4 linked regions of the Arabidopsis thaliana genome follow. Each later gene encodes a partner of the first gene's protein in a complex. Each region holds a gene or a part of one and is shown on either strand. Other genes may lie near its edges. The genes, in order: FVE, AT5G40340, AT3G09670 and AT5G02950.

Evidence for each region.
Region 2: FVE (region 1) and AT5G40340 share a complex: the UniProt entries of both Arabidopsis thaliana proteins name them as parts of the PRC2 (polycomb repressive complex 2) complex.
Region 3: FVE (region 1) and AT3G09670 share a complex: the UniProt entries of both Arabidopsis thaliana proteins name them as parts of the PRC2 (polycomb repressive complex 2) complex.
Region 4: FVE (region 1) and AT5G02950 share a complex: the UniProt entries of both Arabidopsis thaliana proteins name them as parts of the PRC2 (polycomb repressive complex 2) complex.

What each region holds. Positions count from the first base shown.
Region 1 is NC_003071.7:8,453,651-8,461,462, forward strand, and holds FVE (Transducin family protein / WD-40 repeat family protein), read left to right. Parts: upstream 1-2,105; 5' UTR 2,106-2,355; coding exon 2,356-2,639; intron 2,640-2,994; coding exon 2,995-3,058; intron 3,059-3,151; coding exon 3,152-3,238; intron 3,239-3,347; coding exon 3,348-3,410; intron 3,411-3,583; coding exon 3,584-3,649; intron 3,650-3,793; coding exon 3,794-3,868; intron 3,869-4,005; coding exon 4,006-4,081; intron 4,082-4,154; coding exon 4,155-4,350; intron 4,351-4,460; coding exon 4,461-4,542; intron 4,543-4,622; coding exon 4,623-4,696; intron 4,697-4,770; coding exon 4,771-4,882; intron 4,883-4,967; coding exon 4,968-5,042; intron 5,043-5,146; coding exon 5,147-5,214; intron 5,215-5,298; coding exon 5,299-5,398; intron 5,399-5,483; coding exon 5,484-5,585; 3' UTR 5,586-5,992; downstream 5,993-7,812. Other genes in the region: LBD8 (LOB domain-containing protein 8), read left to right, coding at 1-26; AT2G19530 (uncharacterized protein), read left to right, coding at 6,569-6,671, 7,331-7,812. UniProt on the Arabidopsis thaliana protein: Core histone-binding subunit that may target chromatin assembly factors, chromatin remodeling factors and histone deacetylases to their histone substrates in a manner that is regulated by nucleosomal DNA.
Region 2 is NC_003076.8:16,130,080-16,138,316, reverse strand, and holds AT5G40340 (Tudor/PWWP/MBT superfamily protein), read left to right. Parts: upstream 1-2,923; 5' UTR 2,924-3,457; intron 3,458-3,624; 5' UTR 3,625-3,636; coding exon 3,637-6,663; 3' UTR 6,664-6,920; downstream 6,921-8,237. UniProt on the Arabidopsis thaliana protein: Together with PDP1, PDP2 and PDP6, interacts with MSI4/FVE and MSI5 to suppress FLC, MAF4 and MAF5 expression by regulating the function of the PRC2 complex and modulating H3K27me3 level, thereby promoting flowering.
Region 3 is NC_003074.8:2,963,684-2,970,657, forward strand, and holds AT3G09670 (Tudor/PWWP/MBT superfamily protein), read left to right. Parts: upstream 1-2,517; 5' UTR 2,518-2,830; exon of another isoform or gene 2,831-2,837; intron 2,838-2,932; 5' UTR 2,933-2,953; coding exon 2,954-5,134; 3' UTR 5,135-5,375; downstream 5,376-6,974. Other genes in the region: MCM8 (minichromosome maintenance 8), read right to left, coding at 110-262, 362-457, 556-819, 1,118-1,281, 1,376-1,598, 1,685-1,802, 1,876-2,019, 2,286-2,483; AT3G09680 (Ribosomal protein S12/S23 family protein), read right to left, coding at 5,514-5,654, 5,737-5,863, 5,957-6,112, 6,604-6,608. UniProt on the Arabidopsis thaliana protein: Together with PDP1, PDP3 and PDP6, interacts with MSI4/FVE and MSI5 to suppress FLC, MAF4 and MAF5 expression by regulating the function of the PRC2 complex and modulating H3K27me3 level, thereby promoting flowering.
Region 4 is NC_003076.8:688,162-694,781, forward strand, and holds AT5G02950 (Tudor/PWWP/MBT superfamily protein), read left to right. Parts: upstream 1-2,523; 5' UTR 2,524-2,647; exon of another isoform or gene 2,648-2,770; 5' UTR 2,771-2,791; coding exon 2,792-4,690; 3' UTR 4,691-4,938; downstream 4,939-6,620. Other genes in the region: AT5G02940 (ion channel POLLUX-like protein, putative (DUF1012)), read right to left, coding at 7-78, 188-438, 526-611, 734-789, 1,428-1,513; AT5G02960 (Ribosomal protein S12/S23 family protein), read right to left, coding at 5,119-5,259, 5,348-5,474, 5,573-5,728, 6,231-6,235. UniProt on the Arabidopsis thaliana protein: May influence gene expression by regulating the function of the PRC2 complex and modulating H3K27me3 level.

The sequences.
Region 1 (7,812 bases):
AGGAAAAAATCGAGCTTCATCTTTAAGTGATACATTGTAGCATATATTATTTATGCATCAAATAATGATTATTTAATATAAAATCATATTTAAGATGAATATTAAATTACCGTCGAGCAAGTTAATACCTTATATTTCTTATTCATATTTCTTGTGATTAAATTGTTTGTGTATTTAGATGATCATAAATGAAACTTTGAAATCTAGAGAAACATATTGTACATATAATAAAGTAAAAGTATAAAAAATTGATAATTTTAAAAATACGAGAACTTCTCGTTTCTTGTTCTAAGTAAAATAACATTCCAATATAGAATTAGGGTTTAGTTGCCTTTGGAAAATTGCTTTGTAAAAAGCTAGATATTATGTTTCGTTTAGTATATCTTTGACTCATGATATTTGACATTTGATTAAAAATCATGTTTGCCTTACATGCATAATATCTTAAATGCTTGTATCACATGTCTCTAACTACCACGAAAAACTTTGTGTATAAAAAATTCAAATCTTTAATTTTTGGACGACAAATTCATTAGCGTTACTAATTTCATTGTACCTATCAGTTTTATGACGATAATAATACAATTTATTTCGTCCCAAAAAAAATAATATTTATTTATTAAGTTAATAGGAAAATAGGTGTAAATATACAAATATGTATATGTAATATGCAATTAGAGAATATATGAAACACCACTATACTATCAACATTAATATTAGTAAGATGAGAAACATAAATTAGATGATTTGAGTCAATATTTTTCCCTAGTAATCTTAGTAATAGTTTTTTTTTTCTTTTATTTGCATAGTTCATATACATATTTGTATACATATATGTTGTGCAGATCTAAAATTTTTGTTTAATACCTATTTTGCACCTCTACCAAATAAATTGTGTTAGAATTTTAAAAAATTCATAATCACAACAAAATTTCTAACACTATTTAATTTGTTGATCATAAAAAATCTGAATTTTTATGCACAAAACGTTTCTTAATAGTCAAAACTAGTGATATAAGAAGTGCAATGCCAAGAATTATAGAGATTTGAAGCGAAATTTTAAAATGACATGATTATACATAACTTTTAAGTTCTAAACTATAATCATAATAAAAAAAATTAAGATATTAAATAGAGCGAACAGACGTTTAGGTTTTTTTCGGATTTACCATATTCATCAGATTAATCCATGCTGGATTGAGAAAAAGCCTCAAGCTTGGAACAACTACATGTAAATCATAACCTCGAGATATTTTAAGGCTTTCAATGTCCCAAAGAAAGTTATTTGGTGTCGAATCCATGAGTGAAAATTGAGCTTTTCACATAGAACAAAGAGGGATATGAAATAGTACAATTTTATGTTTTAAATAAAGAAGATAAAATGAAAGGTAAATTTTATAGGTTTAGCCAGCAGAGAACAAATGAAATGAATGTTTTAAGTTTAGACACCAAGAACAAACTTAGGGTTCAAGTCTAAGCTTAGTCATATACTTCTGAACAATATTGGACTTTATTGTTCAAGTATTAAACAAACATTGAAATCTTCTTAAATCACTTTTCAAAATGCAACGAGGATCTATTCTTTTTTTTTTTTTCAGAAGAAGCTACAAGAAAGAACAACAAGTTTGGATATGAATTATAAAGTTAGTAATCCATGTAAGAGACGCTTATATTAATTAATTTATACTGTTAATTATTTCATCCGTAATTTTTATTATTATTCAATAAAGTATTTATTTTACTGAATTAAAAAATAATAATTATGGGTGTTTGGATATTCGGTCGGGTATTTTGGGTTTGAGTTTTTCGGGTTTAGAATTTTAAGATCCGTTCGAGTAATTCAAGATTCCGGGTCGGGTTTGGTTCGGTTTCGGGTTTAGTTATATATTGAAATATCAAAATTTTGTGTCCGAATCTATTAAATTATTTGAAAATTTCAAAAATTCCCTAAACAACCCGAGTAGTTTTGCTTGAATATATTTAAAAATACATAAAAGTAACTAAAATATCCGAAAAATCATAATATTGTCTATATGTAAATATAAATATAAATATTTTAGTTATATTTATATTTAAGATATGTTTGGGTACCAGTTCGGGTTCGGGTTTTTCAGGTTTTGAAGTTTAGATTCAGTCGGATATTTGAAAATTTCAGGTTCGAATTTAGATTGGGATTTTTGGATTGGGATTTTTGGATCGGGTTCAGATCGGTTTTTTCGGATTCAGGTATTATGTCCAAAGTAAAAATGGTAAACGGTGGTTGTTTTGTTTGTATTTGTAAAGCAGAAGAGAGAGAGATATAGAGACACTGAAAGCAAAGACCAAAAAAGAAAAATTAAAAAGAGAGAGAGGAAAATGGAGAGCGACGAAGCAGCAGCAGTGTCTCCTCAAGCAACGACACCGAGCGGAGGAACCGGAGCTTCTGGGCCGAAGAAGAGAGGTCGGAAACCTAAAACCAAGGAAGATTCTCAGACGCCGTCGTCTCAGCAACAGAGCGATGTTAAAATGAAAGAAAGTGGGAAGAAAACGCAGCAGTCGCCGAGTGTTGACGAGAAGTACTCTCAGTGGAAAGGTCTCGTCCCCATTCTCTACGACTGGCTCGCTAACCATAACCTCGTCTGGCCTTCACTCTCTTGCAGGTCTCCCCCTTTCTCCTTTCCTCTCCTTCTAGGGTTTCGTTTCGTAATCGTTTCTTAGCTTTGAACATTCTCATGTTTGGAATGAATTTAGTAAAATCTTACACATACATTTTCTCGATTTCTGGGTTTAAGTGAGATTGTTGCGATTGTTCTAGTTAGGGTTTTGGATGTGGCTCTGTCTTCATACCTTGATATATCTGATGTTCTATTCATGAATTGTTACTATTGATTACCTTGTTGGTTACTAATGACTAAGAGGAATTTTCAGTTTCTCTGAGTGTTTATATCTGATGAAGTCTTTAGTTGTTGTGCTAAGAGTTTCCATTTGGTGAATTGTTGTTTGATTTTTTTATAGATGGGGTCCGCAGCTTGAGCAAGCAACCTACAAGAATCGCCAGCGTCTGTACCTCTCAGAGCAAGTAAGTTTTTAGCTTTCTCTTGTATCTTGTTGTCTCATCTTCTTTATATACTTCTCATCGTATTATTTGTATTTTTCTTGGTTGTGTCACCAGACTGATGGAAGTGTGCCCAATACTTTGGTCATAGCAAATTGTGAAGTTGTTAAGCCAAGGGTTGCTGCAGCAGAGCACATTTCTCAGGTATTATGTGGTTTAATACTAAGCTTGTGTCCTTTCCATATCCTACTCCACACTACAATTGGTTTCATGTTTGACACTTATATACTATCTTCTGAAAATGTGTTCTCAGTTCAATGAAGAAGCACGTTCTCCATTTGTGAAGAAGTACAAGACCATCATTCACCCTGGAGAGGTGTGAATTCTGCCCACTCTTGAGATATTTCTGTATTGACATTGTTCTTTTTAGTTCTATTTGGTTTGTTAATTGTATCTGCATCCCTGTTTCATCTGTCCATGAAGTTATTCGTTTGGCACGTTGGTGAAAGTAAATTTTGATGTGTATTCATTACTAATTTGCAATTGCAGGTTAACAGAATCAGGGAACTCCCACAGAATAGTAAGATTGTTGCTACTCACACCGACAGTCCTGATGTGAGTGCTGCTTCTATTTTGTTATGGTCATAGCAACTTGAAATATGTCGGTTTCATATTTCTGTATTTGGCAGTCAAAGAGCATCCTTTGTTCGGACATATGTCCAGTTTCAGAGTTATCTAAATACAATATGTTGATTTCAGGTTCTCATTTGGGATGTTGAAACCCAACCAAACCGTCATGCTGTGCTTGGAGCTGCAAATTCCCGTCCAGATTTGGTATGTCCACTTCTGAGAATGTTGTTTTATGCTTTATTCTTGTTTGTTTCTCATCATTGGAAGTGATAAATCTCTTTGATATCTTCTTAAATAGTGCTTCTTGTTTGCATCATCTGAATGAACCATTTTTCATGCAGATACTAACTGGGCACCAAGATAATGCTGAATTTGCTCTTGCCATGTGCCCAACGGAACCCTTTGTGCTCTCCGGAGGTTTGTGTTTCTGTAATTTGTAGAGTCCAATCCTGTGGTTTGCCAGTTTCTCATACAAAAGTTCTTCTCTTAGGCAAGGACAAGTCAGTTGTTTTGTGGAGTATCCAAGATCACATCACAACGATTGGGACAGATTCCAAATCATCTGGATCTATCATCAAACAGACTGGTGAAGGTACTGATAAGAATGAGAGTCCTACTGTTGGCCCACGAGGTGTATATCATGGCCATGAAGATACAGTTGAAGATGTGGCATTCAGCCCGACGAGGTAACTTCTTAGAACAGACTCCTTCTATTGATATCGTGTTTGTTTATGCATACTGCAGATATTTTCATGATTTTCTAATAATACTTCTGGTGAACTTTTATACCGTGAAGTGCACAAGAATTCTGCAGTGTTGGTGATGATTCTTGCCTTATACTATGGGATGCGAGAACTGGCACAAACCCTGTCACGAAGGTACTCTATCTTTTGAATCCTATCAAAAGTTTGAAGATTTACCTCCTTTTGATATTATATCTTACTTTTTTGTTTTCCAGGTTGAAAAAGCGCATGATGCTGATCTTCATTGTGTTGATTGGAATCCTCATGACGACAATCTGATCCTGACAGGGTATGGAGAAATACATACAAATAGATGATTAATACATACTTAGTATCTAATTAAGAAATTGATGAATATTTCAGGTCAGCAGACAACACTGTCCGGTTGTTTGATCGTAGGAAGCTTACCGCTAATGGAGTTGGTTCGCCTATTTACAAATTTGAGGGACACAAAGCTGCTGTTCTTTGTGTTCAGGTATAATCAACTTTTTTTTTTTTTTTCCTTCTTTGTATGAAGTATATCTCTTAACCCACTGACACTATCTTGTTATTCAATTCAGTGGTCTCCTGATAAGTCATCCGTCTTTGGGAGCTCTGCAGAAGATGGTCTCTTGAACATCTGGGATTATGACAGGGTGTGTACATAGTTCACTCAGATGTCTAAAATTAATCTTTCTTCACTATCATCACTGAAACATATTCATTGTACTCATGTTTGGTTTGTTTAATTAACCATCAGGTCAGTAAGAAGTCTGATCGTGCAGCTAAAAGCCCCGCTGGGCTCTTCTTCCAGCATGCTGGTCACAGGTTCTTAAAGACTTATCTTGATTTTTCTTGATTGCTTTCTCATTTTACTTGCTTCTAAGTTCCCTTGTTTATAAACCATATTAGGGACAAAGTTGTTGATTTCCACTGGAATGCTTCAGACCCTTGGACTATTGTCAGTGTTTCTGATGACTGTGAGACTACTGGTGGAGGTGGAACATTGCAGGTAACCTTGAAATCTTTCTTGGTACCTTGATAAGCAATTTTATTGACATACCGTTAAATGTTGTTTATACTTTCTTCTATGGCAGATATGGCGGATGAGTGACTTGATTTACAGACCAGAAGAAGAAGTCGTGGCAGAATTGGAGAAGTTCAAGTCGCATGTTATGACTTGTGCCTCCAAGCCTTAAGAGTAAAGAAAACCCATTGTCTATCTATCTATCGCCTATGGTAAACTAATGCGGGTTTTAGCGAGGAGTCTTGGTTTTTGTAAGGCTGGTTTGTCTTTTGAGATATTGGTGGTAGCTTTTAGGACCTTTCCATATCAGTTAGGGGTACATGGTTCTGGTTCATGATCCTGTTTCATCAGACTCTTAGGTGCTGTTTTGTTCAACTGAGATGTTAATCAAATCGGACCAACTTTATGTGTTTTGGTTTAAGGTTTCAATACTTGGCCTGAACCTAATGATTCCTTCTCTGTAACTAGTCGAGACCAACCCGGCTACAAAAAAAATAGTTGCATTGATGTTCAAATGCAAAGCAGAAGGGGTCATTATAAAACAATATAGTAATAAGCATCGCAAAATTTGGAAACTGGGTTCTTGATGATTCGTCGCATCTTAAATAATGTTTGCATTGTCGTTTTCATTAGAAAAAAACTGTTAATCACGCTTAGCAGTAGGATTAGGTGATTTTCAATTCACAGATTTATTCGTAGGATTTTGAAGAAATTTTAAGTATTAACAGTCACTAAACAATCAGACCATTGCAAATCATACATAGATCACCTGGTCATTTCATAAAACTAAACTATATGATAATGTTTTACTTTATTGGGCTTAACGTTAATGGTCCTCCCGCTTAATAGGCTTTATGAAGTCTCTTGATGAGCTAGAGACTTTAAAAATCCAATCACAAAGCCTACATGAGACCGTCAAGATCAGTCAGAGAAGATCAAACGAAGAAGTTTTTGTTCCAAAAGATACTAAAGAGAGAAACATGAATCAATGTATTGCTTGAGGAATAAGGTAGGGAAGCTAATCAATCACAAGTAGACGAATCGGAGTATTTCATAAAATTAGGGTTTTTAGACCTACATTTTCTTTTCTTTTTCCGACGATACTTAAATTGCTCGAGAAACTCTATTAGTGAGAAATCCCCCATCGGAATCTCGATGGAATCATCTCCTTCTGGATCCGAACCTCCGCAGAAAGTCGTTTCTAAACTGCAGAAAGTAGGCTGGCGAGCTACGATGATCTTCAATCTCGGTTTTGCAGGTTAGAGAAATCTTCATTACTTTCTTAGTAAGGTTTTTAGTTTTACGTCCGTAATGTGTTCGATGTAATGCCTAGCTGAGAAAGTTCTTTCCTTTTTCTTTATTAATTTTTGAGAATAGAAAATACGAATTCTTCTAGCGGTCGTCTGATATATATGATACTACAATTTATCCCTTGAACTGTTGTTGTTGTCCTTGCTTTGATTCTCGAAGAAAGCTGATTGCATTACTCTGAGAGTGTTTGATTCTCCACTCTATTATCAGATATTAGAACATGCTTATTGAAAGGACATTTTTTGGATCTGTATCTCTCAGTCACTGTTGATGTTTTCAGCGACATTGAATTAAGCAAATGTAGTATCTAGAAACTATCTATATCTCTGTGTGCGTGTGTGTATATATCTTGGCTAAGCATTTTTGCGTTGAATAGAGGATTCACACAGGTTCTTGTAAATTTTCTGGTTCATGGACATGATTGCACATCTTATTATCTTGTACTCAATACTTTTCAAATGTTTCAGCATCTCGATTTTTAGCTGGCAGAACTACAAGCTTGGTCTAAATCAGAATTGAGAAAAGCATGCTTGCTTGATTTCTTATGATATAGCATTCATGATAGACAACTTCAATGTTTGCTGATTTGATCATTTGGTTCTGCAGCTTATATATTTGCGATAAAACGAGAAAAGGACATTGATGCGGACGAGAAGAAGAAAGTTAAAAAGGGCAGCGAGGCTAGACATAAAGGTGTGAAAAAGGGTGCTGTTAACACCGAAATCGAGAAGAAAGGTGCAGAAGAAACTGATAAGGCTAAGGAAGCAGAAACTGCAATACCGGAGAAGGAAGAAACCAAACTGATCCCTGAACTGGATCCACTGTTTGAATTTACAGATGCAACTGATCAATCCATGTTTCAAACTGTGGCAACTGAACATGTAAAGGTAGCAAGGAAACCAATTCCAGAAGATGAGCAAAAGGAGCTTTTCAAGTGGATATTGGAAGAGAAAAGGAAGATAGAACCAAAAGACAGAAAAGAAAAGAAACAAATCGATGAAGAGAAAGCTATTCTGAAACAGTTCATTCGTGCTGAGAGGATTCCAAAACTTCTACCTGATGATTCCGTTGATTCTTCACTTCGTGAT
Region 2 (8,237 bases), on another chromosome or scaffold:
AGTGATGGAGACAACATCCCGAATTTGAAATCTAATATGAATGATAGTAGCTCTAACCAGTAAGATACATACACTATCATGGTTAATCTATTTTTTGTTTTTTTTTAATTATTGAATTTGAAAATTATATATGAAAATCAGAATTCGTGCAAATTATAGAACAATATATTTTGTGCATGACATTGCAACATGTGGAACCCAACGTTAGCCTAACTTTTAAAGCCAAATTCAACAAATTTATATCTTATAACAAGTTGATTTTAACTCAACTTTTATCCTTACTAAAGAAACAACCTGAACTGGTCATCTATTTCTGATATGTAGCTCACGTCATGTCTATAGAGTAATTTTAGGAATATTTTGACATCAATTCTGTAGAAAAGTGGTCTATGGTATGGATATCAAAAGAGTTAATCCATATTTTGTAATTATTTTTCCTGAAGTTTCCAAAAATCATATAGAAGTCTCTTTCGGGTGTGGAAATACATGTACATGTGGATCAATGAAATGCACATGTCACATGCTGTATAACATTCATAAACATACATAACATGTTAATCTATTAGCCTATAGTCATAGAACATGTGTCATCTAGGTTTATAAAATTTCCACACTTATTGTTACCTTTATTCCCAATGTATCCAATTTTGTGCATGACAATGCAACATGTGGAACCCGACGTTAGCCTAACTCTTTGAGCTGAACTATCAAAACCTTAAATCTTTCTAAGAAATTTCCATTATATTAGAGGATGAAAAAAAGACAACATGAATGAAACAACAATTTATATACTCGATCTAAAGAAAATAATAGCATAAATTAAAATTTTCAGAAAAAAACAAGAGGGAACATTGGTGTGAATAAGTGTAGTTATTGTGCTAAATTAAATTATGTTGGTCTATAAAGTATTGGTTAATATATATCAAAACATCAGAATGCTATAACGTCTAGATTAACTTGAGCTTTAGCAATTCGCATGAAGAAATAAAATTTGATGGTTAATTTTTGATCCAAAAATCATCTGATTACTAAAAATAATAAAGAAGAATAATCGGACCGACAAGGATATTATTCGTGGACGACAAAAAGTTTGGCAAGGGAGTGAGTTCACTACAGTAAGACGGCATATGTATTTAAGGATTACCAAACTTTTTGCTTTAGCCAAGGAAGCTTTTTCTCAAGAGCCAAGAGGCACACTTGTAAAAATATATAATCAAATATATGTATATATCAAACTAAATCAATACATATCAAATGTTGTCCTTGCATATACACAAGTAATTTCACATATGTGATAGTGATAGTGGTAGAGATCATCATCTTAGTTGAGACTTAATTAAATATGAACAATCAAGTTCGCTATTGCATCTATATATGTTTTTGCCTTTATTTCTAATCATGTAGATTAAGATCATTTTTATGATATGCGTATAAATATTGTAGAAAAGATTAAGGTGCACAATCTAGATTTGGATAGATAGAAAAAGTAGAGGCATTGGTTTAGCTATCATATGTTCTCATCACATCAAGAGACTTGGATCTTAATTAATCAATGTTTCCATATTTACTGATAAATAAAAAAGTTATAAAGTAGACAAACCGTTGATATAATTTTTCACGTCCAAAGAGAGTACGTAGATCACCTCATGACCAGGTTGCTTTATAGTGTTTAGATTGTATAGCATTCATATTCTGACTGAATCTCTAGAACATATGCTCAAATCATTTCGTTTGGAGTTTTGACCCATCCTCAAATCATATTATATATGCATTCTATGCAAGTACAAATATGAACCATTACATTTTGTTGAATTAGGTTGCATGTCTTTTTAGTTTTGCCCACATGTTTTTCGTGTGAGAATTGTGAATTCCCCATGTGAATCATAAATGAAAAGATAACATGGTGGGTCGTTCACAACTTACAATTCGGAATTATTTTAAACGTGTCTGAATTCCCTTGGCACTGTAATGATCCGTCTGTTACGTTGCCTTGGGCCTTGGGCTTTGGAGATGGACTAATATTTACACAAGTTGGGTTCAAGGTCATTGAGCTTTCTTTCAAACTATGATTAAGTAGTGGGAAATATATGATTCATATATCACTATTACTTGGTATTACAGTTCTAATACAGATTATACAGTTGATTCATATTGGTTCGCCGTCGATACTACATATAATCATGTCATGAGAACGTGTTGTTCGTGTAAAATTAACACAACAAGAAAATTACGTTTAGATGTATCAAATGTTATCCTAACAGATTTCACATGTTATATAGTCTCAACGAAAAAAATTAAAACATTTAAACTGGGTCAAAAGATGTATTTAAGCGATTTTCTTATATGGTGTAACATAAGTTGACCAAAAAGATTGAATATGAATTAGTGTGAAGATTGATTCAATGACTAAATCTAGTTTAATCATAAAATCTAAACATTTATCTTTTTTTAATAAAACTCAAACCGATAAATAATTTTGTTTTAGTAACAAATTAGATTTTATAAGTAAATTAATTTTTTTATTATTATTAAATGTCAAATTTTAATTGAATAAAATAAAAAAAGTGAATATAAGGGTTCAACTCAAATATTTTTCAATTCAATATATATAACCAAGATTTTCGTTACCACTCCACTTAAGTAATGCAGTGAATGAAAAAGAAAAAATAATCAGTGTCTAAAATCAAAATACCGTTGGTCAGTTGAATAATGAAAAAGAAAAGATCTTTGATTTTCCTTTTACTTGGTAGATTCCTACTCTTTAGGATTGAGGTTTTAATAAAAGACTTTAATCAACAAGCACTAAATTTAAGATACTGGTGTTGTGTAATAATAAGTTTGGGCCGAGCAAAAAAAGAAAAGGACTGGGCCGAGAAACGGCAAATATTTGTGTCGTTTCAAATACCAAATTCAAAATCTCCATTCTTTTATTACTCTGCTTATTAGCCGTCTAAGCATATTACAGCTGTCAATCATCGAAAGCATGTGACGCGTCTCTCTTATTTCATCCCACTCGCGTTCATATACACGTGTTATCTACTCTCTATCCGATTTCCGCCACGTAAGAATCTAGACACTGATGTTCTTATACACATAGCGAGTAAGCTGTATTTTACACTCTCGTAGCTAGTCAGTTTATTGTGATAGCGACACGGCTGATTTAGGGAAATAAATTAAAAACGTTGTCTTATTCCTGGGGCAAAAAAAAGCAGATAAGTAAGCAAAAAAAAAAACTCATTAATTACGAAAGTACCCTTAAATTTCTCCGAAAGGAAATTTTTGCGCCGCGTTTCATCTTCTCTCAAATCAAAATCCAGAGAGAAAAAAAAGAGAGGATTTTTCTCATGAGATTCTGAGAGTGTCTTTGTTCTTCTTACAAAGAAGTGTTTTTTCTTGAAGATTCTTCGGTCGCTGTTCGAAAAGTTGTTGTTTCGTTTCTCTCGGAGCTCAAAATCAGGTAAAAAATTTGTTACTTTATATTTTCGTTTTTCTAGGTTTTTCGTAAGAGTTAACCTAATTTCAAAATTTGTTTTTTTGGGAGATATTGTTGGGTTTGTGTGTAAATAGTTAGGTTGATTTTTTTTTCTGATTTGTTTGTCGTTTTGTGATTTTTTTTTTCTACAGTCGGGAAGAAAAATGGAAATTGAAGTTGTTTTGGGAATCGGAGAAGATGCGGGACCTAAGCCTTGTTCTGCAGAGATTGAATCAGCTGAGAAAACCCTAAAAGATGATGGTGTTGTTCAAGAGAACGGTGTTAGGGTTTCCGACAACGGTGAGAAAAAGTCTGATGTTGTTGTTGATGTTGACGAGAAAAATGAGAAGAATTTGAACGAATCTGGAGTTATTGAAGATTGTGTTATGAATGGAGTTTCTTCCTTGCTCAAATTGAAGGAAGATGTGGAAGAAGAAGAAGAAGAAGAAGAAGAAGAAGAAGAGGAAGAAGAAGATGGCGAAGATGAAGAAGAAGAAGAAGAAGAAGAAGAAGAAGAAGAAGAAGAAGAGCATGGATACTGTGTAGGAGATTTTGTGTGGGGAAAAATTAAGAATCATCCATGGTGGCCAGGTCAGATTTATGATCCATCAGATGCTTCAGATTTGGCTTTGAAGATAAAGCAAAAAGGGAAATTGCTTGTGGCGTGTTTCGGAGACGGGACATTTGCTTGGTGCGGTGCGTCGCAGTTGAAACCGTTTGCAGAGAGTTTCAAAGAGTGTTCGAAAGTGAGTAATTCGCGGAGTTTTCTAGGTGCAGTGGAAGAGGCGGTTGAAGAAATTGGTAGACATATTGAGCGTGTATTGGTATGTGATTGTGCTGAGGAGAAGAAGCATGAGTTTGATAGTCCTTTAGTTAACAATGCTGGGATTAAAGAAGGTGTTTTGGTGCGTGATGTGAGACGGGAAATGATTTCGTCGTTGTTGATTGGTAAACATGGAGAGATTCTTAAAGATGTTAAGAGTTTTGCAGAGACTGTTAGTTTTAGTGGCTTGCTTGAGCTGGAGATATTGAAAAGGAAGGTATCTGCGTTTTATCGGTCTAATAGAGGATATGGTTTGACTGAGTATCATGAACCTCAATCAGTTCCAGGACTTGAAGACAAGAACAATGATGATGATGATGATGATGAAGAAAAGAATGTTAATGATGGGTTACAATGGCGTGCTAAACGGTCTAGAGTAGAAGAAGTAGCAGCTTTGGATCATGAAGAGTCGTCGTCTCTTCAGAGATCGTTAGAGAAGTGTTCTGGTTTTCCTGATCATAGGCTTCCCCACAGAAGGAAGGAGAAAAGCATTACTGAAATAATTGAGAAGGAGTCAGCTGCTAAGGTTAGGTTTGAGACAGAACCTGCGGATGGAGATGTAAAGTCAAATGTTAAGTCGGGTAGGAAGAAAACAAAACGCCATGATGAAGTTAATGGTGATCTTGAAAATGTAACTACTACTGCACTGTGGAGGAGAAGAAAGAGTGAAGTAGCTACAATTGAAGACGGTGGTAACAAGCAAGTGGTAGAAAGTAGCAAAGGCAAAACTTCGAGGAAGAAGAAGAAAATGGATGTGGATGATGGCGATGATGATGGGAGTGGAGACAAAGAAGAGTCTGAGGAAAAAGAGATTTCAGATCTGGAAATAAATATCGATTCAACTTCATTAGCTTCGCTGCGGAAAAAGGTAAGGTTTGATGATTCAGTCGTTGAAAGGAGTACTGAAAATGGCGAGACCGCTACACAAACATCAAAGAGAGAGAGGAAGAAGAGCAAGTATCTCTCGCCTGATTTCTTGTCAGATTTTTCACGGAAAGGAAGAAAAAAGAGTACAATCGAATCTGAATCTTCGAAAGTTTCAAGTCAGAGCCAAGTAGACGAGCGAGTGACTGATGCTAGTGATAGCCTCATGGAAGTGGAAGAAGATACGTTGGATAAACCTTGTGAACCATCATCTGATAATGGATTAGGTCAAGAAGAACTGTCTAGGGAACTTAGTAATGCCGTCGACTTTCTGAGGTTGGGAGCTACACCAAAGGAAATGCAGGATCTAATTCGTGTAGCTGCTCTTGGCACACAATATCCAAAAGACAGTAGCTCAAGAGACATGGTAAGAGAATTCATGACCATCTATAGAAGCTTCACATATCATGATGGAGCCAATCACAAGTTCTTAGGGAGCTATGATAGTTCGGATAAAGAAAAGGAAGAACTGAGTGAGATGGGTAAGCCTGTAACTAAGGGGAAAGAGAAGAAAGATAAGAAGGGTAAAGCAAAGCAGAAAGCAGAGGAGATAGAGGTAACTGGTAAAGAAGAGAATGAGACAGACAAGCATGGGAAAATGAAGAAAGAGCGAAAACGTAAGAAGTCTGAATCAAAGAAGGAAGGGGGTGAAGGAGAAGAAACCCAGAAAGAGGCTAATGAGTCAACAAAGAAAGAGAGAAAACGTAAGAAGTCTGAATCAAAGAAGCAATCAGATGGAGAAGAAGAAACTCAGAAAGAGCCAAGTGAGTCAACTAAAAAAGAGAGAAAACGTAAGAATCCTGAATCAAAGAAGAAGGCAGAAGCAGTTGAAGAAGAAGAAACCCGGAAAGAGTCTGTTGAATCAACCAAGAAAGAGAGAAAACGGAAGAAGCCTAAACACGACGAAGAAGAAGTCCCGAATGAGACTGAGAAACCCGAGAAGAAGAAGAAAAAGAAGAGAGAGGGAAAGTCTAAAAAGAAAGAAACTGAGACGGAATTTTCAGGAGCTGAGCTATATGTTACATTTGGTCCTGGTTCAAGTTTGCCTAAAAAGGAAGATCTGATTGAAATATATGAAAAATTTGGAGCTTTGGACAAAGAGAGAACTGATACGGTCGACAACAACTTCTCTGCCCATGTGGCTTTCTTGGATGTAGCTGATGGAGAAAAAGCCTTTGAATCCTCACTAGAGAAATGTCCGTTTACTTCTAATTCGACGGTGAAATTCAGACTCAAGTATCCAAATGAGAGAACAGAGGAGAAGAAAACTGAAGCTGAAGTTGCAGAGACGACAATGGAGGTGGAATATCTGAAGAAAAAGCTGGATGAGATGAAATTGTTACTTGATGGATGCGAAGGAGGAATGACTGAAGAAGTGAAAGTGAAACTTGAAGGTGAGATGGTAAATTTGTTGGAGAAAGTGATAGAGATGAGATCTTCTTAGGATTATGATTTTATGTTTTTATTTTGTTGGTTGAGAACTTTCAGGACAGGTTTTAGGATATTTATGGTTTCTGCAAAACATAACAAAAGTATTTTGAGAGGTTAATGTCTTGGTGATACTATGATCTTGTCGTAGGGTAGACAGAATTAGATCGATGTTCTATGTTTTTGTGTAGACTTTTTTAAAGTTTACCAACTTTGATACTAAACCCATTAGTGGGCTTTTGGTTTATCACTCTCTTGAAAGCCCACTAATTTTATTATATTACAAACAAAATTTTCAAAATCCTTTCGACGAGTATTGAATGTTTGATGAAGCCATACAAAGAGGGAGGTTGGAGATTTTTATTAGAAAGGGAGTCTCGTCGAGACTGAATCATTTACGTAATGCTAATTAGTGATCCAACAACATAAATGTTCTAAGACAATGAACAAATTCAACCATTTGATTGATCACAAAAAATGTATCCAGATAATGTATAAGAGTTAATTAAGATATTTGGCCAATTTCAAATTCAATTATCAAATTCAGAACATTAGGCTTAATCATGTTTGCTTGTTCATGTTTGCTTGTTCGTTTTTGCGTTAGTTCTCGGAGAAGCTGTAGACTTCTATCTTTGAGGTTTTGTGGACGGACCTTGAATAATCATGCTCGTGGCAACTAGGATGAGGATTCCAATACTTCGGTACTGCGGCAACAACGCAAATTTCCGAGCTTCGCGGACTCGGAATCGGTGTTTCTCCTCCTAACTTGGCCTTGATCACTCATCGGCGATCCTTTGCAATTAGAGTTGTAATGTTGTTCTTTAATTTTCTGTAAATTGTTTTGTTCTGCTTCTACTTTTCCTTGTAATTCTGTCAAAAACAAAAATGGTATAAAATTTCACCTTTTACCAAAATTAAAAAAAAATAAAAAATAAAAAATTCAGAAGATTAATTTATGTGCAGTAAAATACATACATAAGAAAAAATAACGGGACAATATATCTACTATTTTTTAGTTTATCACATCTATGATAATAATAAAATTATGAAACAATTAAAATGCCTAAATATGAATAAAATATAAAATTATTTAGTAAATAAATGACATAAAATGATAAATTCTTACAAAATAAATGTGAGATGATTATATTGCTCCTCAATTCATAAATAAAAGATGAGAATTCAAGATATCCATTGCTGTCACGAAATCTACCAAGTCACGTTAACGTGATTGGTTTTAATTTTAAGACATAAATACGTTTTAATGATTTGGTTTACTTTTTTGTTGGAACAATTTATTTAAGTCAACCAGAAAAAATAATCTCTAACAGTCTTGGCTTCTTCAACTAACTTTCAAATTCCAACGTACGAGGTCTGGTCTTATCTAAAGTATGAATATGTATGATAGATTAATCGTCATTGATTTCAGAACTCTAACATTAGTCAATGTAATTAATGTATAATTAAGAGACACAAAGAGCCTAACCTGACAAGACCTCATTCATTTTATAAAAATCTTACAAGCGGGTGATACGTAGAATCAAGGCTTGTAACAGCTGGATTATCTCGGTTGACCATATTTGTTGACTT
Region 3 (6,974 bases), on another chromosome or scaffold:
GTAAAACTATCCATCAACAGCATGACTCAAACCCATATCGGAAACAGTAGAATAATATGCTATATACTGAGATTTGTGCGGGCTAAATAAAGGAGAGGGTATGAGCTACCAGCCTCAAACGCATAGTCATTTGTCATGGAATCTTTCACTACAGCAACGGTGAGCCCTGCTCTAGTCGTCGCATTACCACATACATAAATGCCACGAGGGGAAATGGCAGCTGCTGCTTGCAAGAGCTGACTTTTGCCCAATCCTGGGTCACCTATTAGTGCATCGAAAATCATCAATCACAATTTCGTGCTACAAACTAGTTACAAATACCCTTTCCTCAGCTCAAGCTAAACATGGTTCAAAAGCTTACCAACAATAATGACATGAATGTCTCCTCTGACTGGAACTTTGTTCCGATCCATCGAGTGCTTCCTTACACCTCCAAAAAGAGATAGTGTTATCCCAGCTGTTGAAATGATAAGAAGAAAACAAACAACAGACGTATCATGATATGCAATGCTTCTAATTGTAATCATCAAATCTTGTTATGGACAGAAGTATAACCTTTGACAATTTCATGGCCATAAATAGACGGGCAGACTGAATGAAGTATGCGACGGAATGTATCAGAACCATATTCTTCTTTGAACTTCACAATAAATTCCAAGTCTCTCTGAGAGAATGAATATAAGTCACCAACATCTGCAGTCTGGGCACTGCTACTAGAGTCTTCTGAGTTCTCAAATGCAGACTGCCGCTTGGTGTTTTTCACTGAAACTGCCTCTATAAACAAATAGTAAAATCCTTGATTCTTGGTCTTCGATTTCCCTGAAACAGGAGCATTTTAAATGTTTGTTAAGCTTGAGTATGGCTTAATACCAGTAATGAGGCTTCTAGCTCCTTGATCTTTGGTAAAATGTCAATATGAGTAAAACAAACAACTTAGCAGTGCTCTATTTTACTTTCCTGCAATGAGATTCCCAAAAACCATGGAAGAGAACTTTAAGAGACAAATTTCCAGCTATTCTACGGGTAAGGATAGCAGGCGTTTGGGCATGTTAATGTTTGCAAATTATGGACACAACAAGGATGGAGAGAACTCCATGAAAAGTTATAAAATCAATACCTCCCCCAATGTCCATGTAATTATTAATTACTCCTATAATCCCTGTAACTGTCACCACATCACCAGGGATACATATGTCCACAAGGTCTTCCATCAGCTCACATTCTACAGTTCTGGGTACCCGTCCTTCTTCGTGGTCTTCAGGCTTTTGCAATTCCTGTACCCTAAAATGCATTTGGACAGCTGGTTAACAATGGTCAGATACATAACTAACAAGGATGAAGTACACAAAATGATGAGACGCAAATAGGAGAACACCTGATTTTCTGAAAATCAATTGTCTGAGCAGAGGACCGGATTGGAGTAAACGTTTTGGACTTGCATCCATGGGAATCACATTTTAGTGGAGGAGAAAACTTTCCATCAGTAAATTCCCGGGTTATGCCAGTTTTGCACTTTCCACAGTCAAAAGCCATCTGTGTGACAAGGGGTTTCACAGTACTAACTTTAACAACAGTCCCATGAACGGTTACAAGCTTTCCTGCAATTTCAAAAGCACACACTCATGCTATGTCTCACTTAAGGTTTTACATCTTATTATTTATTTCGCTAGATGAGACAGTCTACCAATATAAGCTGCTCTCAGGTTTTTCAGGGAGATAGAAGATTCAGGATAATTATGCAGACGAACATTGATCTTCATAACATTCTCAAACTCATTAGTCTCCCATTGATCAAAAAGAACCTGTGAGAGATGACATAAGTCTTCATCTTATGCCAACCAAGAAAACAAACCCCAATGAAAAGTAATAGCATACCTTGTGAACAGCAGCATTCATACATGGGATAACTCCTTTAGGATTATCCTCTAGATTTATGAAAAAGTTCTCGATATCAGATATTTTCTTGAATTGTTGGAGATCAAGAGACAAAGAGAAGGAACCACCACCGTCTTCATTCACCTGGCTCAAGCCATGGAATAAACTTATAAACTGTTTCTCCTATTTTTAGATACTAAGAAGAACTAATTGACGCATAGAGAAGTTGATTAATCGTTTTCTATCTACCCTAATTCTTCATAGAAGTAGAGTGGAAACGAAATCTAGCTAAATAGATTACAATTTCATAACCGGAATTTAATTTCGAAATCAAGCTATACCAAGCTTTATAAAATTCAGATTTATAAACTTTTTACCAGAAATTTGATGATGGCCAAGTGAGGATGTACCTGAGAAACTATGTCTCTACCAGGTGATGCGGAGAATACGCGGATGAGCTCCGCCGTGAGCTGCAACTTATCCTCGTCGATGGCCAAATTCTCGTTGTCCTTGATGTATACAGCTAATATTTTCCCGATGCCGAGAGAATCAATTCCTGTTGATTCAGGGCGACCCGATGCCATGCTTCCACCACCGTAAAATCCCATCACCGCTTAACCCACTGTAACTCGCTCGTCGTCAGTCGCAGAGAAAAATCTCGCTTAGGCCAATGGGTTTTGGCGGGAAAAAGGTAAAGGGCTTTTTGTGATGGGTTTTTGGTAAGTGGGCCAAATGATTGAACCCTAAAACCCAAAGATAACCAAAAGAAAGGATAAAATCAATTAATAAAGCTTTAGTTGTCCGCCACGTGGACTGAACCGCACAAAAATTCACAACAACAAAAAAAAAACGAGAAACCCGTTTCTGGTTCGATTTGACGTCTTCGTTTACTTCATTTCTATAAACGAGCTCCCGCCGCCGGAAAATTCGCTGTTCATCACCACCGTGACCAGAGGTTTGTTGTGAGCACCTTCTCTATCTTTCTTTCTTCACCTGTAGGTTCTGTTATATGTTTTGTTGGGAAATGAACTGAAGAAAATTTCTGATGATTTTCTAGGGTTTTGTTTTGGTACTGCTTATGTCGACGGAATCAGAACGTATTGAATCAGTCTCAGAGGCTAATGCGTCGAGTTTAGAGGTCGGAAATGATCAAATGTCTGAAGCCCTAGCTGGTCAAGCTCAGGAGCTGAAAACAATTGGAGATGATAAAGAAGGATGCGGCAACTTTGCTTCAGCTGGTGATAATGGGATGGAGAAAGTAAATGGATTTACTAATCTTGTTAAGGAAACGGAATCTGTAAATGGAGAGTTAGATCTAGGCACTAGAACCGAAAATGTAGGTGGAGAGAGTAACCAAAGTGACAAGAAGGTTCTAGTAGATAGCGAAGAGGTCATGATGGTAGAGAAAAGGGGGCTTCTTGTTGAGAAGGAAGTGGAACCTGACATGGTCTGTTCTCATGGCGCTGATCTCAGTGATGTGAAGGTTTCTGATGGCAGACTGGATAGTGAAGACCTTGTTCAGGATAGAAAACCCGATGGCTTAGAAAAGCAAGGAACAAAAGTTGAGGACTTGGATGTTGTATGTTTTATGGGTTTAGAACCGCATGAGAGCAAGGATGAGAGTATTTTGGATGATGAAATTGCCCATGTAGCTGCGAAGGTGAAGATCTCTGACTCAGATTTGGTTTGGGCTAAAGTAAGGAGCCATCCGTGGTGGCCTGGACAGGTGTTTGATGCCTCGGCTGCAACAGACAAGGCGAAGAAGCATTTCAAGAAAGGAAGTTTCTTAGTAACTTATTTTGGAGATTGCACCTTTGCTTGGAATGAGGCGTCACGGATTAAGCCTTTTCGACAGCATTTCTCCCAAATGGCAAAGCAGAGTAGTCTACCTGATTTTATTGATGCTATTGATTTTGCGTTAGAAGAGGTATCAAGAAGGATAGAGTTTGGTTTAGCTTGTTCTTGTATCTCAGAGGAAGTCTATCAGAAGATCAAGACTCAGAATGTAATCAATCCTGGAATCCGAGAAGATTCAAGCTCAATACACGGTGGAGACAAGGTCTCAAGTGCAGTCTTCTTTGAACCTGCAAACCTTGTGGGATATGTGAAGCGTTTAGCATGCTCTCCTAGCTATGATGCTACTGATGCGCTGCAGCTTGTAAGTCAGAGAGCACAGTTATTAGCTTTTAATCGCTGGAAAGGCTATACTGACCTCCCCGAGTTTATGACACTCCAGGGGTCAGTAGAGTCTGCACCCAAGATTTCTCCTGCAGAAGAGCAAAGTAGCTTAGTGGAAGTTTCTGATCCTGAACCAACAAAGAGTAAACAAGTTTATACTAAAAGAAGAAAGACAAACCTGCAAACAGAGCAAAGTAGCTTAGTTGAAGTTTCTGATCCTGATAAAGGTGACTGTAAACACGATGGAGTGTTTGAATATGAAGAAACTATTGTTCCAAAGAAAAAGGAGAAAACTTTGGCAGAGTTCATTGCTGAGAAACGCGTAAGCAGACATAATGGGAACACATCACATGAAAAGTCTGGTAATGTTCCGCATTGCGAAAAGAAACGCAAGGTTGTGCAGTCAAAAGTTCCCAAGTCCACGAAAAAGATTAAGGCAAACCTGCAAACAGAGGATCCAGGATCTCCAGTTTCTCCCAAAAATGATCGAAAAAATAATTTGTCTGCTGGTGATAAGATTACACCACAGAAAGCTAGAAAAAGTTTCGGAATTGGGGCAAGCATATTGAAAGTGGCAAACCAGATGCATTGTTCAACACCAACCAGACTCTTACCTTGCAGTGATTCGACCTCCAAAAAGGCAGCCAAGAGCAATGGCAGTGGAAAGAGTCTTCAGGAGAAACCTAAAGCCGAAGCATTATCAGCAAGAGAAATTTCTCCTTCAACTACACTTTCAAGCCCTCACGCTGCTTCTGTTACCAAAACCACAAGTGGGAAATCCAATTCTGTCAGCCTAGACCACAACCTATCCGGAGAACTTGATCAGGTCAGAAAGGAAGCTCCTAGTACTAACCTTGTGGAGGACCCGATGTTGGAGTCTAGAGACTTGAAAGACTCTTCTAAGGAGCAGGTCGTACATGAGGATAAGAAAGAAGCTGCAAATGTAGCGGATGAGAAATCTATTATGGACAGCAATCTAACCGGGGAGAAAATCAGTGGCTTGGACTTGAGAGAGCAGCCGAGTAACAAGAACTGCTCTGGTGGATCTGATAGTTGCAAGGAAGATGTTTCTGCAGAGTAGGAAGGCTCAGCATCAGCGTCTAACCCACTAATACAGATCTTTCTAAAATCGAGTCCGGTTCTTGTTAGTACCCAAGAGTGGAATATACCTTTTAGATGGATTCTCTTCTCTTTCAAAGTTTAGAATTGTATGATTTAATCAGAGTTGAACAAACACTAGTGAGAGAATGTAACAAAGTTATTTTTGTTTTTCCAGATTTGTGCAATTTAATGGTCAATAATTCATTTGAATCCAAAACTAATTATGAATTTGAATAAATAAATTAGAATCCAAACAAAATTAACCTCAACTCGGAGGAAAATAGAATAAGAGATGTCACTGAATAAGTACATAGACATGCCTTCAAATATCAAAAAAAATTCATAAAATGTAGTAGAGCTCAAGACCTAGGCTTCTCCTTCTTTTCCTTGAAAAGGGCCAAGAGTGAGACACCAGAGACCTTCACCACTTTGAACCTAACTCCGGGAATATCTCCGACGGCATGACCTTTACGCCCAAATCCAGCAATCAACACCTCGTCCTACACACAGTATCAATGAATGAGTAATTGGTAAGAATATAATTTGATTACTCATTCAAAAGTAGATGTCAATCTAACTTACATTTTCTTCAATGTAGTTCAAACAACCATCATTGGGGACAAAGGCAGCAATCTTTTTACCATTCTTGATCAACTGAACTCTAGCACACTTACGGATAGCAGAGTTAGGCTGCTTAGCCTCAATACCACTGCATAATCAAACACAGAGTCTCATCAAAGTCAAGATCTATACTACTAACAAAATCAAGAAATGGTAAATATATATGTTTATACAAACTTACATTTTCTCAAGAACGATTCCTTTAGCGTGAGAAGAACAAGCAAAAGGCTTCTTCCACTCGTTGCCTCGATTAGACTTCTTGTAATGCTTGTCCGCCCACCTCTGAGTAATCCGAAGCTGCTTAAGCTTGCGACCAGCTCCCATACCACGTGTCTTACTGAAGATATTCAAATAGAAGATAAAAGAAATTGAGAACCAAAGGACATTTCATCAGATGAAATCAACTCACTCAGAACATATAAAACAAATTCGGAGTTGATAAAGAACATAAAGTTATAATCTAAATCACAAATACTTAACACAAGAGGAGAGTGTAGTAAGGAAAAAAATCAAAAATCATAATCATAATTTCCACATTTCAGACCAAATAACTCCAACGTTTATAAGAAAAAACTACGAATTATAGCAACTTCGTAGCTTCAACAGGGTGATTAACAAAGTATTACTACACGACGTATGAATGTCATTCAAATCCCTTAATTCAACCATCCCGACCCGAGATAACGAAAACGGCAAGGCACCAAAGAGAAACCGGAATAAACAAAAAAAACATAAAACAAATCCTAAACCCGACATAACAAAAACACGATCACTTATAAGCGGAGAGATGAGACTGAAACATAAAGAGTCTAAGAGAGGATACCGTACCCCATGTTGACGACGGCGCGAGTGAAAAAGTCGAGAGATGAGCTGAAACTGCTAAAGGCGCGACGTTTTAAGTTCGTGAGAGATTGAAAAACCCTAGTGATAAGAAAATAGGTATATATAGGCTTGGGTCAAGACTCGTGAGAGCCCTGGTTTAGGCATTAACCGGTCTGCAATGAAATTGATTAAACGGCAAATGATTATTTTTATATTTGGGCTTAACAAGAAGGCCCATCACATGTCAACCCAAATATTATGCCAACTCCTTAAGGTAATAATACGGGAAAAATGTCGTTTTATACGTGAACTTTAAAAAATGGCCATTTAATACGAAAATTTTTGTGTGGCCAAATAAAACATAATAAAAACGTTGA
Region 4 (6,620 bases), on another chromosome or scaffold:
AGTTACCTGAATTTGAAAAAGAAGAGTCCTCCAATGATAACAAACGAAAAGCATGTTATCAGGAGCACCACAAATACCCTACAATAGCCATGACAAGTGATCAGAACGGATGTCATATATAGTCACATGCCTGCAAACAGCTATACTCGTTAAAACTCTGAGACTACATTGGGGTTTAAGGACGTACGTGCCAAGGTTCTTCTCAAGCTGAGTATTGAAGAGGTAAGAAGACCTTGCAAGACCCCATTTGATATCATGGGAAGAAGGAATGGCCTTGAGTAAAGGATGTTTGTCTATAGCGTTTGATGCACATGCAAAAGGCAAGCCAGCCTTCACTGAATTCTGAATGAGATTTGGAAGCTCTTGAAATATCTTTTGCGCTATTCTCAACACCGCATACAGTGGGATGCATCCTATCACAAGTTTATATGGAAGACTCTGCATATTTAATTAAACAAGATTATATTATTATAAGCATATGGAGTGATAACACATTCAGTGATGAAACTCATTCTATAGATTCACCTTATAGAATTTGGAATTTAAATCTTTGAAGTTTTTATTAGGCGGCTCTGTATCTCCTGTCCTTTGAGATTTGACTTTGAAGGTCCCTGTCATATAGAGAGAAAAAAAATACAATTAGCTAATCAAGAATGAGTCTAATTGTGGAAGAACAGCAACAATGAGACCGTAAAGAATTGCATCAAAGTTGGAAAAATATACAGAACCTGACCTCTGAAACTAGAAGACTTAATCCCACCTAAAGGCAGAGAGTGTAAACTCAAGCTCCTGCAAAAAAAGAATCAGAGATACACAACTTGTAAACATCACAACCCAATGAGCTTTGATTGAATGACAATTTCCAGATTTTGAATCAATTTACGATATACCTTTATCTTACAAACCCAAATTCCATTTGAAACTAAACTCTAAACCCAAATTCAGAGCTCCTAACTAAAACCGTCACATTTTCTAATCGAAACCATTGAACTTGGCTACATTTACTGTAAGCAAAACATGAAGTAAAATTCACCGGAAGAAGAAACAACAAAAATAAACTGTGATATATGCCCAAGCAAGTTTTGAAGATAAGGACGAAGAAGACGCTGACGGAACTAGAGGGTTCGGATTATAAAGAAAAGAAGAGAAGACACAGAAATAAACAGAGGCATTGGCATTTCTTTTAGAATATAGAATTTGTTGAGAGGAGTTACTTAGTATTGATCGCTTAAATGATAAATACCGTGTTCTTTAAGTATCTGTATCAGTTGTTTGGAAATAAAGAGCTTGTTTCTAACAAAAACACTCAAAATCTTCTGAGGATCACAAACTTCACAATCATCATCTTATCACTTATGGATAAAGTCACCACCATGCAATTGTTTTCAGAAATATCAAGTATAAGAAAGAAATTACAAAAACAAAACCTGTGAAAAGAAGCTAATCGATCTCTTGTCAAAGCTTGAGAAGGTAGAATCAATGGCTTCCAGGTAAACAACTGAACAGCCACCATCTTTCTTAATCTTCTCCTTGATTTATCTTACGCTCTTTTTGTTTCTCTCCTTATATATGTGGGTGGAGTATGGACACAAGGCTGGTTTTTTAGATTTTTGCGTGATTATTTTGTTGTTGTTATATTGTTTTGGACCATATTAGTTAGCCCGTGGGGTGTTATGAACATAAAAACAAATCGACTAATTTTTTTTTTGGCTTAGAACTTCATTTGAATAGGTAAACAACGCAGAGGAATCGCGTCCATAGAATAGAATATAATAAAAACAAAATGGTACTCTTATCGCTTTGAATTTTAACTACTTTCTCTTATTCCACTCACTATTCACGTTTTTATATACATACATACATATAAGAGTACATGTGCTAATAGCTGTCCAAACAAAAAAAAGAGTACATGTGCTAATAAACGACTATTTTTTAGTACTTTTGTTTCAATCGTTAAAATCTCATCCACAATTTTGAATCTCGAACGTTACTGGCTCCCAAAATATCCTCTCAATGTTGAGACGCCACATGACATAACAATAAAAATGACAAAGACATAACAAGAAAATGGATTTTGCATTTTTTGACCATTGAGAGAGCTAAGCACTTTACACAATAAACGGTGTTATTGTGTTTATATATGAATTGATATATTATTTTGTTAGTCTATGAGGAGTATTTAAAAATATCCCCAAAAGAGGTTTTTCAAAATATCACTTTTTAGTAAAACATACTATTAAACAAGTTTAGAAAACTTATAAAAAAGTGTCTTAATGTTGTAGGAAAACATTTGGTTCTCATTAAACATAAAATTAACAAATTTAATTCTTTAGAAATAAACTAGTTGTAGTAAAATTCTAATCTACTTGTAGTAAAATTCTATTCTATTTAATATCAGTAAAAACAAGTCAAATTCAAGTTCAAATAAAGAGGGAAAAGCAAAAGTTTGAAAATTTTGAACCTCACTCAATGTAATAATGTATGGTTGTGATGAGTCGAGACAAAATCAAGTACTGCCACGTGGAATAATTCGTGACGTACACGTAGCTCTCTCATAAACCCCCTCAAAACGAAAGAAACTCTGTTATTTCTTCATTACCCAAAATCTAAGCTTTCGTCGCCGGCGAAACCGTAACCGCCACCGGAGGTTCTGTCCACCTTTTTTGCTCTCCGATTATTTTCTTCGTCTCTCGTATGATGTACTGTTTTTGCTTTAATGGAAGCATATACTGAAGCAATTTCTGCTTTTTTTTGTTTCTTCGTTGTCTAGGGATTTTTGTTGGTGCTCGTTATGTCTACGGAACCAGAAGGAGTCGAATCTGACTCCAACGCTGATTTTGCCATAAATGCGTCGAGTTTTGACTACGGTATGGCTCACACATCTGAAACCCTAGCTGATCCCATGAGCTTTCAAGCTCAGGACTTGGTAGTGAACCTCACTGGAGTTGAGCGAAAAGTATTTGTCTCTGCTCGTGATGATAAGGATAGTCTCTGTAACGGGGTTGATTTTGATGCTGATTCAGATCTGCTTAAGAACAAGGATAAGAAAGGATTTTCTAAAGAGAATCTGAAGCTTTTTGACTCAGATTTGGTTTGGGCTAAACTAAGAAGTTATCCATGGTGGCCTGGACTGGTCTTTGATAAATCTGTTGCCTCTAAAGCTGCGATGAGGCACTTCAAGAAAGGAAATGTCTTGGTTGCGTATTTTGGGGATTGTACATTTGCTTGGAATAATGCATCTCAGATAAAGCCTTTTCATCAGAATTTCTCTCAAATGCAGGAGCAGAGTAACTCCGCTGAGTTTCGTGATGCTATTGATTGTGCTTTGGATGAGGTTTCAAGGAGAGTAGAGTTTGGTTTATCTTGCTCTTGTGTTTCAGAGGAAGCCTATAACAAACTCAAGACTCAGAACATAATCAATGCTGGAATTCGTGAGGACTCAAGTGTTAGATACGGTGGAGACAAGTTATCGGATGGAATCTCTTTTGAACCTGCTAAACTTGTGGATTATATGAAGCATTTAGCTTGCTTTCCTTGCTATGATGCGACTGAGAAGCTGCAATTTGTGATTAACCGAGCTCAGGTATTGGCTTTTCAACAATGGAAAGACTATTCTCACTTCATTGACTATGAAACATTTGTAAGGTCGGTGGAATCTGCTGCGACCCTGGCTTCTCTCCCAGAAGTAAATATGGATGAAGGAATATCTGCCAAAAAGAGAAAGACAGATTATAAAGATAATGCTGAACAGACAAAGGAGAAGACTTTGTCAGATTTGACTGTAAAGAAACGCTGTGGGAGCAGATCAACTGAGAAATTGGATGGTAAGTCGCATTCTGAAAAGAAGCGTAAGGTTGAGTCTTCGGAATCTGGTAAGTCTGAGAAAAGGATCAAGAAAAGTCAGCAAAAGGAGGATTCAGTGTCTAAACACTCTAATGAGGAAAGTCTTTTGTCAGTGGGTGATACTAATAAACTGCAGAAGACGGCTGAACCGTGTCATGGAACTGGAGTGGAAAATGAGATGAATTCTTTAACTCCTACACTTAAGCCTTGCCGTGCTTCTAAATCTACGGAAGTTGAGAATGAGAAGACTAAGAAGCCGAGACATCAAGAGCTTGCTGAAAGAAAGATTTCTTCTCCTGATGAGATGCTCTCAAGCCTTCACGCTGCCAATACCTCAACGGGAATACCTGATTCAATCAACATAGACCCCTCGAATTATGAAGATTTTGAAAAGTTCATTAATGAACTGTTTTGCAGTAAACTCAATGGTGACTCAAAGAAGGCAAGTATCACTGAGACATCAGAACCTTGTGATAAGAAAGACTCTGCAGAAGAAGAGATATTACCTGCAAATAAAGAAATCACTGGCTCAGGCTCGAAAGAGCAAATTGGTCTCAAGGACTGTTCTGCAGATTCATTACCACCCTATGCTTTAGTCCTCAACTTTGCGGATTCAGGTTCGGTTCCATCTGAAGAAAAGCTGAACGAGATATTTAAACGTTACGGTCCTCTCCATGAGTCTAAGACTAAGGTCACGATGAAGGGTAAGAGAGCCAAAGTTGTGTTCAAAAGAGGGGAAGACGCAAAGACTGCCTTTAGCAGCGCAGGGAAATACAGCATCTTTGGACCTTCTCTTCTAAGTTACAGACTCGAGTATGTTTGCCCCAAACGGAAAAAAACAACATGACTGATTGAGTCACGGCATCTCTTAACTTTCAGAGATTAGGGTCTGATCAGATATCATCAGCTAGGTCTTATGATGAGAGTAGATTTTCGATAAATAAACGTAACCTAGGATTTATGATGAGAGTAGGTTTTCGATAAATAAAAGTAACATTCGTGTGATGAGACTAATTCTTAACTTTATGACATACAAAACCAAAACTGGAAATACCAATGATAACAGTAAAGTTAGTCGCAACTGAAGATGAGGCTTATAAGTTAAAAGAGTAAATTGATTAAACACCAATAACATTAAACGATCATGTCTTAATTCAAAAACTCATAAAATGTAACACAAAATCAAGTTCTTGAAACATAAAGTAGAACAGAACAAGACTTAAACTGAACTATCAAAAACCATATCAAAAGCTTGAAGCTTTTTGTACGGGTTGCTTAAGATCTTGGCTTCTCCTTCTTTTCCTTGAAGAGGGCCAAGAGTGAAACACCAGAAACCTTCACGACCTTGAACCTAACTCCGGGAATATCTCCCACAGCGTGACCCTTACGACCAAATCCAGCAATCAAGACCTCATCCTGCAACACCATAAACAAGAAATGTATCAGCATATGAATGAAACTAATCCATAGTGTGATGATTGAATAGTCATTTCATGTGACTTACGTTTTCCTCGATGTAGTTCAAACAACCATCATTGGGGACAAAGGCAGCAATCTTCTTTCCATTCTTGATAAGCTGAACTCTAGCACACTTACGGATAGCAGAGTTAGGCTGCTTAGCCTCAATACCACTGCATCATCAAACACAAGAGTCTCATCAACGACCAATGTCTCTACTCAACAAATCAATTATAAGAAAAAGTAAACTTGAATGTTATATCAGACTTACATTTTCTCAAGAACAATTCCTTTAGCGTGAGAAGAACCAGCAAAAGGCTTCTTCCACTCATTTCCCAAGTGAGACTTCTTGTACTGCTTGTCAGCCCACCTCTGGTTAATTCGGAGTCTCTTCAGCTTACGCCCAGCTCCCATACCACGTGTCTTACTGTTAACAAATCATCACAAAATAACATTTGAGAACAACTTCACTCGATAAACCATAGTTAAAACTCAGAAAATCAATAAGAAATTCATCTAAATAATAACAAGACGATAGAAGATTTATCTCTAATACATCAGCAAAAGTGAGCTTCAAAACCCAAGAGACCATAGATACTCATACAGCGAATTTTAAATCTCCAGTTATCAACCATACTAGAACTCCAGAGTAGCTCAAAATTTACACAATCTATTGTGGATCTATACATAAAAAACATTTAGCAAACATATCCAGAAATGAAGACGCATTTGCTATAGAATCAGTTCCAATCAAAAACCACAATCAAAAGTCGAAAACATGTAACAATTTCAAACAAAAAAAAAACACAGCAGACTCTATAGAATCCTTCATAATTCATGGAAACAGCAAGTGAATCAGATAAATAAAACGCTAAACAGAGAAATGAGATAGGAACACGAAGGATAGATCTAATAGAGGAGAAACGTACCCCATGTTTGTTGATGGAGGAGAAAGATCAACAGCAAAGAGCTATTTGCAGGAAGCACAAAGATGATAAGCTCTTAAGCGGCTGAGAAAACCCTAAACCTAGTGAAGGCAGTGACTCTTAATATATGCGAAGCTGGTTCTACCTCCGCGGATTTCTAATACTTGGCCCATCAATTAGTAGGCCCATTAAGTCATGGGCTTTTAAAAAATTGACTATAATTGTCTCAACTTCTCATCATTCTTTTGGGCTTTTAAAAGCTGAACTCTAAACCGTTGGATCTAATGGACGCATTAGATGACATACACGTATACTCTGATGCTAATTAATACTGGGAATAAATACTTCCGCCACATCAGCATAACCCGTAATCCTTACGGAACCGGCTGTAAC